Arabidopsis thaliana: one gene and its partner. Each later gene encodes a partner of the first gene's protein in a complex. Each region holds a gene or a part of one and is shown in the gene's direction. Other genes may lie near its edges.

What was found. Proteins that work in one complex are often made in the same cells at the same time.
Region 2: NRPB8B (region 1) and NRPB10 share a complex: the UniProt entries of both Arabidopsis thaliana proteins name them as parts of the RNA polymerase II.

What each region holds. Positions count from the first base shown.
Region 1 is NC_003074.8:22,012,903-22,020,150, forward strand, and holds NRPB8B (RNA polymerase Rpb8), read left to right. Parts: upstream 1-3,473; 5' UTR 3,474-3,613; intron 3,614-3,726; coding exon 3,727-3,805; intron 3,806-4,031; coding exon 4,032-4,189; intron 4,190-4,702; coding exon 4,703-4,794; intron 4,795-4,909; coding exon 4,910-5,021; 3' UTR 5,022-5,459; downstream 5,460-7,248. Other genes in the region: AT3G59590 (jacalin lectin family protein), read left to right, coding at 1,265-1,291, 1,356-2,048, 2,128-2,493, 2,588-2,866; AT3G59610 (F-box family protein / jacalin lectin family protein), read left to right, coding at 6,651-7,248. UniProt on the Arabidopsis thaliana protein: DNA-dependent RNA polymerase catalyzes the transcription of DNA into RNA using the four ribonucleoside triphosphates as substrates. Component of RNA polymerase II which synthesizes mRNA precursors and many functional non-coding RNAs.
Region 2 is NC_003070.9:3,860,891-3,864,574, forward strand, and holds NRPB10 (RNA polymerases N / 8 kDa subunit), read left to right. Parts: upstream 1-1,508; 5' UTR 1,509-1,629; coding exon 1,630-1,665; intron 1,666-1,868; coding exon 1,869-1,927; intron 1,928-2,693; coding exon 2,694-2,788; intron 2,789-2,889; coding exon 2,890-2,915; 3' UTR 2,916-3,184; downstream 3,185-3,684. Other genes in the region: AT1G11480 (eukaryotic translation initiation factor-like protein), read right to left, coding at 3,478-3,684. UniProt on the Arabidopsis thaliana protein: DNA-dependent RNA polymerase catalyzes the transcription of DNA into RNA using the four ribonucleoside triphosphates as substrates. Component of RNA polymerase II which synthesizes mRNA precursors and many functional non-coding RNAs.

The sequences.
Region 1 (7,248 bases):
GTAAATCTGAATATATCAGAAACGCAAGGAGATAGAAGCTCAAATCTGTGGACTGCAGATTAGACATACATGTTTTTTGTTTTGTTTTTGTCATCATCTTCATGTTTCCAACTTAATTTCTTTTGAAATATTCTACTTAAATTAAAGTTGTTTAAAATAGGGCTATTATATTCCAGATTTCTTTTTAACAGCTTCTAGATTTCTTTTTATTTTATAACTTTTGGTATAATTATTCATTTTGGATCTAAATAAGTTTATTTACGTACATCCGATCTAAAATAGTTTATTGATAAAGCTTTCTAATTAACTCATATTTTTTTTATTTTTTTTGTCGAAAGTGAATTTTATTGATTAAGAGTGACAAAAGTCATGATACAATTGTTCAAGAATCCAACTAGGGGGACAAACATTATCAGAGTAATAGTTACAATGGAGACAACCCTGTTTAGCAAGTAAATGAGCTACCCTATTACACTTTCGTTGAGTGTATGAAAAACTGATGTTTTGGAATCTAATTAACTCATATATATTCTTTTTTTTTAAACACCCATTTTTTTTTACCATAAATCAATTGTTCCAATATTTTCTTTCTATTCAATTTTTACATCTACAGTAATTATTGTATTATGAGGGGGTGATTTAGTTATCTATTTTGAATGATTTGAGTTTTTTTGTGAGTTATAGATGATTTTGGGTAAATATAGTAAAATTGATAACTTATGAATTTTCCTAATAACCTAGAACACTTTTTTTTTTTTTTGAATACCTAGAACACTTTAAAATCATTAAAGACCAATCTTGGAAAAAAAAAATCAATAAAAGTGGATTTGAATATACTCTTTCAAATTCATTAGTTCAATAGCATTGGATTTAGCAATTCTTATTATAACCAATAACACTAGATTTTTTATTAAAAAAATAATCTATGATAGGATAACATATGAATTATCATCCAAAACAAATTAATTTATTGCTTGCCAAAAAAAAAAGGTATATTAATATTGTTACTTTTTCATTTTATTCCACCTATTGTTGTTATTATTTTGTTATATCTTTATGTAATAGTAGTATACTAACGTAAGCTATAAAATTCTAATAGAAAATTCATCTATATATATATATTCTTATGGGGGTGTAATTGTGTAAACTCGTCCGTAACAGATAACATAATGCAACTAGAACAACTTCCGTGGGAATTGGAGGAAAGAATACTCACTTTGATTCCAACAAAGTGTCTCGCTCTATTCAGATCTGTTTGCAAACGATGGAACTCTCTTTCAAACGAGAGAAGGTTTATCAATAATCATTTGGCTCGTGCCCATCCACAATAATTCATCTTGATTGCCAGATCCAAGATTTGCTCGGTGGAAGTTAATCTTGATGTTCCATCCATAGAGGTGCATAGCCATAACTTACCCTCATATATTCCCGGTTATAATGGTTTCTTCATGACGGTCGAATATTGCGACGGGTTAGTGGTTTATGCTACCGAGAACGGGATTGGGATATGCAACCCATTGTTGAGACAGATTAGATGGATCAAATCCAAAGTGAATTATCGTTACAATGGGGTGGGATACGACAATTCTAGACCCGAAAATCATTACAAGATCTTTGAGTCTTGCCCCTATAGCGATACAACCGTGAAAGCTAGTATCACCGAGTTTGTATCCGATGCATGGATTTCGAAACCGTACGAGTTTGCATATGATTGGGATTTTATGTCGTCCTATAGTGTATCATTGAATGGAGCTTTGTATTGGGTTGCTTTCCATATGGCGTCTGATGACCAGTTTATTCAAAGCTTTGATTTTTCTACGGAGAAATTTGAACCCTATTGTCTCTTGCCTAATAAAAAATGTGATCCAAGCAATGCTAGGTCCCTTGCAGTTTTTAGGGGAGATCGATTTTCGTATTTAGAGCAAAACTATGAGACAAGGAATATAGAGATTTGGGTAACAAAAAAAGAGATTAAAATTGAGAATGGAAAGGCTGTGGAGTGGATGAACTTGATGAAAGTGTCAGTTCCTAAATGGTCGAGTTTAAGAGTAATAAGCTATGATCCGCCAAGTTACTTCATCGACGATAAAACCCTCAGTCTCGCATTTGTGTTGTTTGAACAAGAAGGAAAAGGCTTGCATTTATATTGCCAAGGGAGATAAGTTCCATGAAATTATAATAAACGATTTGGTTGAGTATCCTACTCGTCATCACCGTACCTATGTTCCTAGTTTGGTCCCAGTTCCAACGTTCACGATGAGCAATAGAAGTAAAACGCAGCAGGTTGAGTCCCGCTTCACACCCCCTAGAGGAATACAAGCGAGCGATGGAGGAAACGAGTGGGACGACGGCATCTTCCACAATGTGAAGAAAATAAATGTAGGAGTAAATGATTTTGACACGGTCTTTGTCAAGTTTCACTACTCCAAATATAACCGGATTGAAGCCGGAGCAGGTCATGGAAATGCGACAACACATAATCCAGACGACGAAGTACGTGACGTGATGAGATTTCTTACTTCTTAATTTATTAGTTTCTAACTTATATATAGTTTTATCATACATATCATATGGATTTCTTGCATAGATTATGATCGCTGGAGGCGACTACATTGAAGCCGTCGAGGGGACCTACACTGAAAGCCATATCACCTCCATTACATTTCGGATGCGCAAGGGAGACATGATGCCACAGTACGGACGCTTGAACGGGACGCCCTTCTCGCTTCGAGGAGAACGAGGCTCCAAGGCCATCGGGTTTTACGGAAGAAGCTCTGGTGTCCACCTCACTGCTCTCGGCGTCCACTTCTCTCCACCCCCTCTATATTATTCGTTTCCTAACCATTCACCAGTTTTTAATTATTAATAATCATGCCAATAAAAAGTAATAATTCTTTTTTGGATATGAATATGATCGTTTTTCTTGAACATGCACGATTGAGTAAAATGGGAATATTACTGGCCGTGTTTTTTATTGGGTTCGCAAAAGCCTAATAAAAAAAGTTGGACTTATGAGTAAAATGGGAAATAGGGTTTTCCAATCCTTCTTTCTGAAACCCTAAACCGACAAGGCAAGCAAACAACAACGCTGCTATACAAATCCATCTATAAACTCTTTTTTTTCTTTTCGACCGTGTCCATTAAAAATATATGATGCAACCAGAGAACCAGCCGTGGGAATTGGAGGAAGAGATACTTTCTCACCTTCCAACAATTTTTCTCGCTCGATTGAAATCAGTTTGCAAACCAACTAGTGTTTAACTATTGCTCATACTCAGCAAACCATGCACCTACTCCAATATTTCAAACTTCTGATCTCTCCTTTAATGCAACATATGTAATAAACAACAAAATATACATGGAATGTCTCGGAAAAACACAAATCTATAGGGTATTTTCTGTAATAAGTAAAAATATAAGGAAAATATGTAAATAAACCAAACTACAAGGAATATATGTAATAATATGAAAAAGTAAAAAACAAAAAATCCTTTCTCTCTCGCTTCTCTTCTTCTCTGCCCCTCCTTAACACTCTTCTCGCCGCCGTTCCTCTCTCTGCCTCTTGAGCCTCCGGAGCTGGTGAAAAAAATCGTCTTTTCTATCTCCTTTGAAGGTAATTCAGCTTTTCGATTTCTCCAGATGCTCATATAGTTGTTTTATGCCAGTCGAATCGGATTATTTTCATGAAATTAAGAGTGTTTAGGGTTTGAATCTCCGTGTTTGTAGATGGCGAGCAATATTATCATGTTCGAGGATATCTTCGTGGTCGATAAGCTAGACCCTGATGGCAAAAAGTTCGATAAAGGTATCTACTTTTTTTTTTAACCTCAGTCACGATTTGTAATGCTTGTCATGGCTTAAATCGAGTTTCTGATATGAATCCTAGTTTCTTGTGTTTGTTTTAAGTTTTAGATAAATTGGAATCCAAGTTAGTGTGAAAAAGATCTCAACTTTTAAAATTTTAAGCCTCCTAAAGTTTGTTTGTTCTGACTTCAAATTGATTGCGTCTCTGTGTGTTTGTGGTAACACAGTTACGCGTGTTGAAGCAAGGAGCCACAACTTGGAAATGTTTATGCATTTAGATGTTAACACTGAGGTTTATCCATTGGCTGTTGGTGATAAGTTCACGCTGGCTATGGCTCCCACGCTTAATCTCGATGGAACTCCTGATACCGGATACTTTACTCCGGTACTGCATGCTTTTTCTATGTTAGATTTTTGGTGTATATTGCATACTCTTTTTTACTTGCTTGGATAAATCTCATGAATGGTTACAGTAAGTTAGGCCAGTTAACTTTTCTTAAGGTTTTGGTTGGGGCATACCATTAAGTGCTAATTGCTCGATATGACTAATTCCACTGGCTTGATTCAGGAGATAGGAATAAGACTAATCATATGAAAACTTGAGCAATACTTAGTCTCTTGAATATTGAATTAAAACCTATCTTTGAAAACCAAGACTGTTTTCTTTGATAATTTGAACATTCATTTAGTTTCCATGTCGCTCTATTACAAGAACATGTATTAGGATTTGATCTAATTGCTTAATAGAACAATTGCTTTGGCTTGATTCAGGAAGCCTATCTAGGAATAAGAGTAAACATGTGGAATTTGAGCAAGACTTAGTGTCTTGACTCTTGAATCATGAAACCAAGATTGTTGTTAGCTAATCTAATCTAGTTTCCATCTCGCTTTGTTACAGGGAGCAAAGAAAACACTTGCAGATAAGTATGAATACATCATGCACGGGAAGCTTTACAAGATCTCTGAGCGTGACGGCAAAACTCCAAAAGCGTAAGAATCCCATATACCTAGACCAACAAAATCATTTTTTCCCAAAGAGATCCAATTTAACTTACAGATCTAACCATCATGCTTCGGTTTCTATCTTGCAATTATGTGTTTGCAGAGAGTTATATGTTTCGTTCGGGGGGCTCCTGATGTTGCTTCAGGGAGATCCAGCTCATATTTCTCACTTCGAACTTGACCAGAGGCTCTTTCTACTCATGAGGAAGCTTTGAGATGCCATTGTCTAATCACTTTCCGAGAATATTCGCATAAAAACCGAATTAACAGAGAGCTTTCTTATAAAAGCTTTATCTTATGTTAAACTTTGCTATTATAAATACTATTTTCATGAAGCAACTCTTGTACATCCAATATTTAACTGTCCAATTGAATTATGCTTGTAGCTCAGAGCTGTTGATGAATGATGATAACCACTTGAGGCCAATAAGTTATAAAACAAACAGAGACAAAAAAATTGTTTCTTTTCTAACAACACTCTCACATGTGTTTAGTAATATTCTCTCTTTGAACAATAACACTAAGCCAATAAAACAAAAAAGTCAGTTTCTGGCGTAGCAGGAATTTTTCTTTGTGATAGTGAAGTTTTTGGAGTTGTTGTTACTCATGCTTGTATCCAGACGCCTTCCCACTTCTCCCAACTGTATGAGGCTCATGCGTATTATCGCTGTTTACCTCCAAACCATGATAAGCATGGCTGAGGAAATACTCGGATCCTGATTTTGCAGCTGTTTGATTTAGTGAGTGAGTTATGATTATTGCCTCTCAACTGCAATGCTTTCTCTGCAGCTTATACTAATGCCATTGGCTCTCATGTGTCCGTCTTCTTCTCCATTCTTTGCTTGATCTGCATCAAGTAGATTGTCAAACTCATGGAATCAAAAATGGCTTTGGTTGACTTAACAATGTATCAAGCTTTCTATGATACCGTTTGTTTTGTGATCTTCTAGGTAACCACCCTGAAAGAAGAAGATCCGTGGCTCCTCTGATCCGCTATATATGTGCTTCTGAAAAGTGGTTAGCAATTTGTGAATTGTGATCACTTGCGGCATTTAGGTTCATATTGGGTGTACGATTTTGGATTATAAAGAAAATCATCAAAACGTTCGTAGAACACAATTCACAAATTTATTGATTTAAACTAGAACGATACACGTAACTGATTCTTCTTTTTGCATGTCCAAAATTATCATCAAGACCGGACTAATCATCATAGGATACATGTGAAAGTTGCAGCCTCTTACATTTTCTCCGTAACTATTTTGCTGTCCTGCTTTTATCCCTACATTTTCTGAGAGAAAGTCTTCTGTCAGTGCTAGATTTCATACTTATTCCATGACTAAAGTTACTTTACTTCATTTCATAATCAAATAATATACTTTCTATTTAAATTATTATATAATTTGTTGACAAAAAAAATATAGGTATCTAAGAAGTAAAAAGTATATTTTTCATATATATTAAATTAAATTAAACATGTTCTAAAAAGGGATAATATTTTTTATTTATTTATCTAACTTTTGGTATAATTATTTATTTTCTGATACAAATCTACTCACTCACATCCAGATTATATGTATTTTCTCTTTCTAATTGCCTCATATCTACAGTCATTCATTTTTTTATAGGTTTTCTTTCCTAATTACAATCATTTATGGACAAAAGTTAAAAAAATAAAAATAAAATTTTCTTTTCTCTTCATTTTCCCATCTATTAATATATATAGTTATTATATTCTTCATGTAGTAATAGTAGCAGTATCTGTAAGCATTGAATTTCTGTTATACACATCCATCTATATATTATCTTGTTCTGATATATTATCATAAAGCTAAAAAAAAGGTATGATGCAACCAGATCATGACCTGCCGTATGATTTGGAGGGAGAGATACTCTCTCACCTTCCAATACAAATTCTCGCTCGATTTAGATGTGTTTGCAAGAGATGGAACACTCTTTTCAAGGAAAGGAGGTTCTTCAACAGTGATTTGGGTCTCGCCCGTCCACAATTCATCTTGCTTGCCGAATCCAAGATTTGCTCGGTGGACGTTAATCTTGACGGCCCATCTATAGAGGTGCATAACTTGCCCTCAGATATTCCCGGTTATAAACTTTATATGCCCATGCACGTCGAATATTGCGACGGGTTATTTCTTTATGCAACCTGTTATGGGATTGGGATTTGCAACCCATGGCTGAGACAGATTAGATGGTTCAAATCCAGTTATGAAGGTTATGATTTCAGTGGGATGGGATACGACAATAGTAGACAGGACAAGCACTACAAGATCTTAGGGTCTTACTGTACAAATACAACCATGAATGCTAGTGTCACCGAGTTGGGATCCGATGCATGGAAATCTTACGAATTTGCATTCCATAGTTGGAATTTATCTATGTCGCCTTATAGTGTTTCATTGAATGGAAATTTGTATTGGGTTG
Region 2 (3,684 bases), on another chromosome or scaffold:
TTCTCTAAGCGAGTGAAGTAAGCTTACCAGTGGCAGTGAGTGAGCTCTTACCAGTGTTTAGGGTCTTCTGCAATTTTCCTTGTTTTGATCGGGAGCTTGATCAAGACTACTGATGCTGAGATTTACGAAAATTGCCAACGGTCTCTATGTTCCCGGTGACAGTGAAGCTCTTTACGCTTCCAAGTTTCAAGACTCCACTGCTACTTTGACTTCGCCTATCTCGCTGGTACAAGGTCTGTGGAGGTTACAGTATGGGTGATAACCTTTTCCTTCTGCGAGGAAAGCATTGTCTCGGCTTTTACTTTTGTTCATAACTTGTGGATATTGGATAGTAAAGCCTACCACTAATGGCATAACATTCAGGATGCTTCTTGGTGTGCTATGATTTGTTATAAGCGAATCACTCTCGTTGGCTAAACACTTTGAGAAAATGACTCTTAAAATGCTCTCTTGGGCTATACTGGAAACTTGCTGTGTTCAGTGGATCTTCAGGTCCTTGTTGACAACCATTAACAAGCTTAAGGTAAGAATAAAGAAACCAACAATACTTTCAGTCCTTTGATGATTTATAATTCCATAACAGACTAAGGGCAGTGCATATAGATATCTTTCGTACTCATCTGCTTTTTCTGGTCTCCATCACAAAAGCCAACTAGGTAATCATATCAATCTCTCTTTACCGTTTACTCGACCTTTTCCAATCAGGTGCTTCTGGTGTGTCTACTACTATCAGTTTTAGGTCTTTGTATACCTGATCTTATCTGCTACTGAGGCTTGTAAAAGTGATTAAAACTGTGACATTTACTCTAAGAGAAGTAACCTGTTTGATGCATTTCCCTAATATACCGGTGTGGAAAAGTGTAGGTATCTGTACTCAGCTGAAATGGTGGACGATTTTGAAGAAGATGAACTCTCATTGACTGAAAGCGGGTTGAAGAGTGAAGATGGCGTTATTATCGAGATGAATGTCTCCTGGATGCTTTTATTATCATGTTTGGGAATTTACCAAGGGAGAGGTATCAGAATCTATCTTAGAAGGTTACATTTAGCTCAAGCTTGCATCAACATCTTTACTTAGAGCTCTACGGGTTTTAGTGTGTTTGAAGTTTCTTAACTCCTAGTATAATTAGAATCTTCTGCAGCAGACTTTAGAGTTTTGGGATGTAGAGCTAACCAGAGTCGGTTTGTTTAAACTAGAATCTTTTTATGTAGCAGACTTGTTCAGTACCTGAATACCAGTTTTAAATTACCGTCAGATGTTGATCTTGTTGGTAATAATGGAGAAACGGAAGAATAATTAGACGAAACAAACTCTTTAAGAACGTATCTTTCAGTTTTCCATCACAAATTTTCTTACAAGCTACAAAAATCGAACTATATATAACTGAACCGAATTTAAACCGGAGGGAGGGTTTGACTTTGGTCAATCACATTTCCAATGATACCGTCGTTTGGTTTGGGGAAGCCTCGTCGTACAAATACGACGTCGTTTAAGGAAAGCCCTCCTTAACCCCAGTTATAAGCTCAAAGTTGTACTTGACCTTTTTAAAGAAGCACGAAACGAAAAACCCTAAAATTCCCAAGCAGAGAAAGAGAGACAGAGCAAGTACAGATTTCAACTAGCTCAAGATGATCATCCCTGTTCGTTGCTTTACTTGTGGAAAGGTTGATATTTTCCCCTTCGCTTTGGTCTTATTTAGGGTTTTACTCCGTCTTTATAGGGTTTTAGTTACTCCAAATTTGGCTAAGAAGAGATCTTTACTCTCTGTATTTGACACGAATGTTTTTAATCGGTTGGATACATGTTGGGTCGATTAGAGAAATAAAGTATTGAGCTTTACTAAGCTTTCACCTTGTGATTGGTTTAGGTGATTGGAAACAAATGGGATCAGTATCTTGATCTTCTCCAGCTCGACTACACTGAAGGGTAAGCTTACAATGATTCTCACTTCTTGCTGCTCTAATCATCATACTTTGTGTCAAAAAGAGAGTAATTGCTTTGCGTTTTAGAGAAATTAGCCCAGATTTCGTATTGGGTCTGTGAAGTTTCATATTAGCTAACACACTTCTCTAATTGATAACAGAAGCTATAAAATAGATTTGCTGATGAAGGAGTTAGCTTTTTATAATCTTCTGTGTTTGTGTTTTACTGTCTGTGTCATTGGAAGAGACTATGTCCTGCCTATATAATCTCTATGTGCCTATCTAGATTTTCTATACAATTGATATTTGATAGAAGTAGAAAGTAAGACTTAAGGTCTTTTGATTAGACTTGTGCCCATCTACATGATTCTTATTGGACTAATCATTCTTTGTGTGAAAATAGAATACTTTGTCTGAACATGAGAGAATGGTTCATAATACGTGTGAAGTATGGGATTAGTTCAACAATTTCGCTATTGGAGAAGCAAACCAAGGGTTAATCGTTTATAGGGTTAAGCTAATGCTCTGCTCTTTATATGTTATTGGAACAGACTATTGTTGTGCCTATCTTGTTTAGTTGTAGATTCTATCTCGACTGTTATAAGTATGACTGAAGGCTTGATGACTTATGATTCTCTTTACACCTGTAGAAGGATTTAAGCTTGGTGTCTAGATATTCAATCTGTGTTGGTTTTGTCTTTCTTTTGGCTCTTAGTGTTGTTCAATCTCCTCAATAGGTATGAAGTTACAATATCCTTATTATTTTGCAGGGACGCACTTGATGCACTCCAGCTAGTCAGATACTGCTGCAGGCGTATGCTAATGACTCATGTTGATCTGATTGAGAAGCTTCTCAACTACAACAGTATACTCTCCAAACTCTTATCATATGTTGTGTATCTTTTGACTCGGACGTTATTGTCCTTTTCGATTTATTTACTGGTACCCACGTACTTTTCCTTGCAGCTCTGGAGAAATCAGACAACAGTTAGAAGAGGATGCAAATCTGCTGAAAAAGTTTTCCTCTTTAGAGGCTTAAATATTAGTATGTATGAAAACATTTGGTGTATGTGGTGTAGACCCTTCAACTCCATCTAAAATTATATATGTGTGTCAGTTACTTTCTCGTGTGATTCAATCTCATGATTTCCTGACCTTGAAGATTTCTCCTTTGGATTCATGTTTCATTAGTATTATTGAGGTGATTTTCATGGCCATAACTGAAAACCTTTGAGAAAAGAGTTAAAAGTCACTGGTCTTCATAACCTTTTGTATACAAAACGCAAGTACAACAGAATCGTCCAACTGTTTAGTGTGTTCAGGCTCGGGCAAGAGTTTTCAAATCTTCCAAACGAACGGTTAAAATAAAATGTATAACCAAAGAAGAATGAAGAACACAGTGTAATCATATCTGGCTTATGTAACCCGACCCCGTTCTTAAGGGAACATATCACATTCAAATCTCCAATAACGATCCCAAACCACATAAGATGTGTTATTAAGATCCAATTAATCGGGACTAAAACCAATTCGAGAGAACAAACGAACGATGACTCAGTACCCATTAATCTGTCTTCCTGTTGTTGTCGATCCTACCAACCGAGAGAAGGGTTGCTGCTGCGTTTGGTTGTTGCGGCTTTTGTTAAAACTGTTGCTGCTTCCAATTCCAGATTTAGGGTCAGAGAAAGGAGAATAGGCTTGAGCTAGCTCAAGAGCAGAAGCTGCTTTTCCGTGACGAATCCCTGTTCCATTTGGTGAATC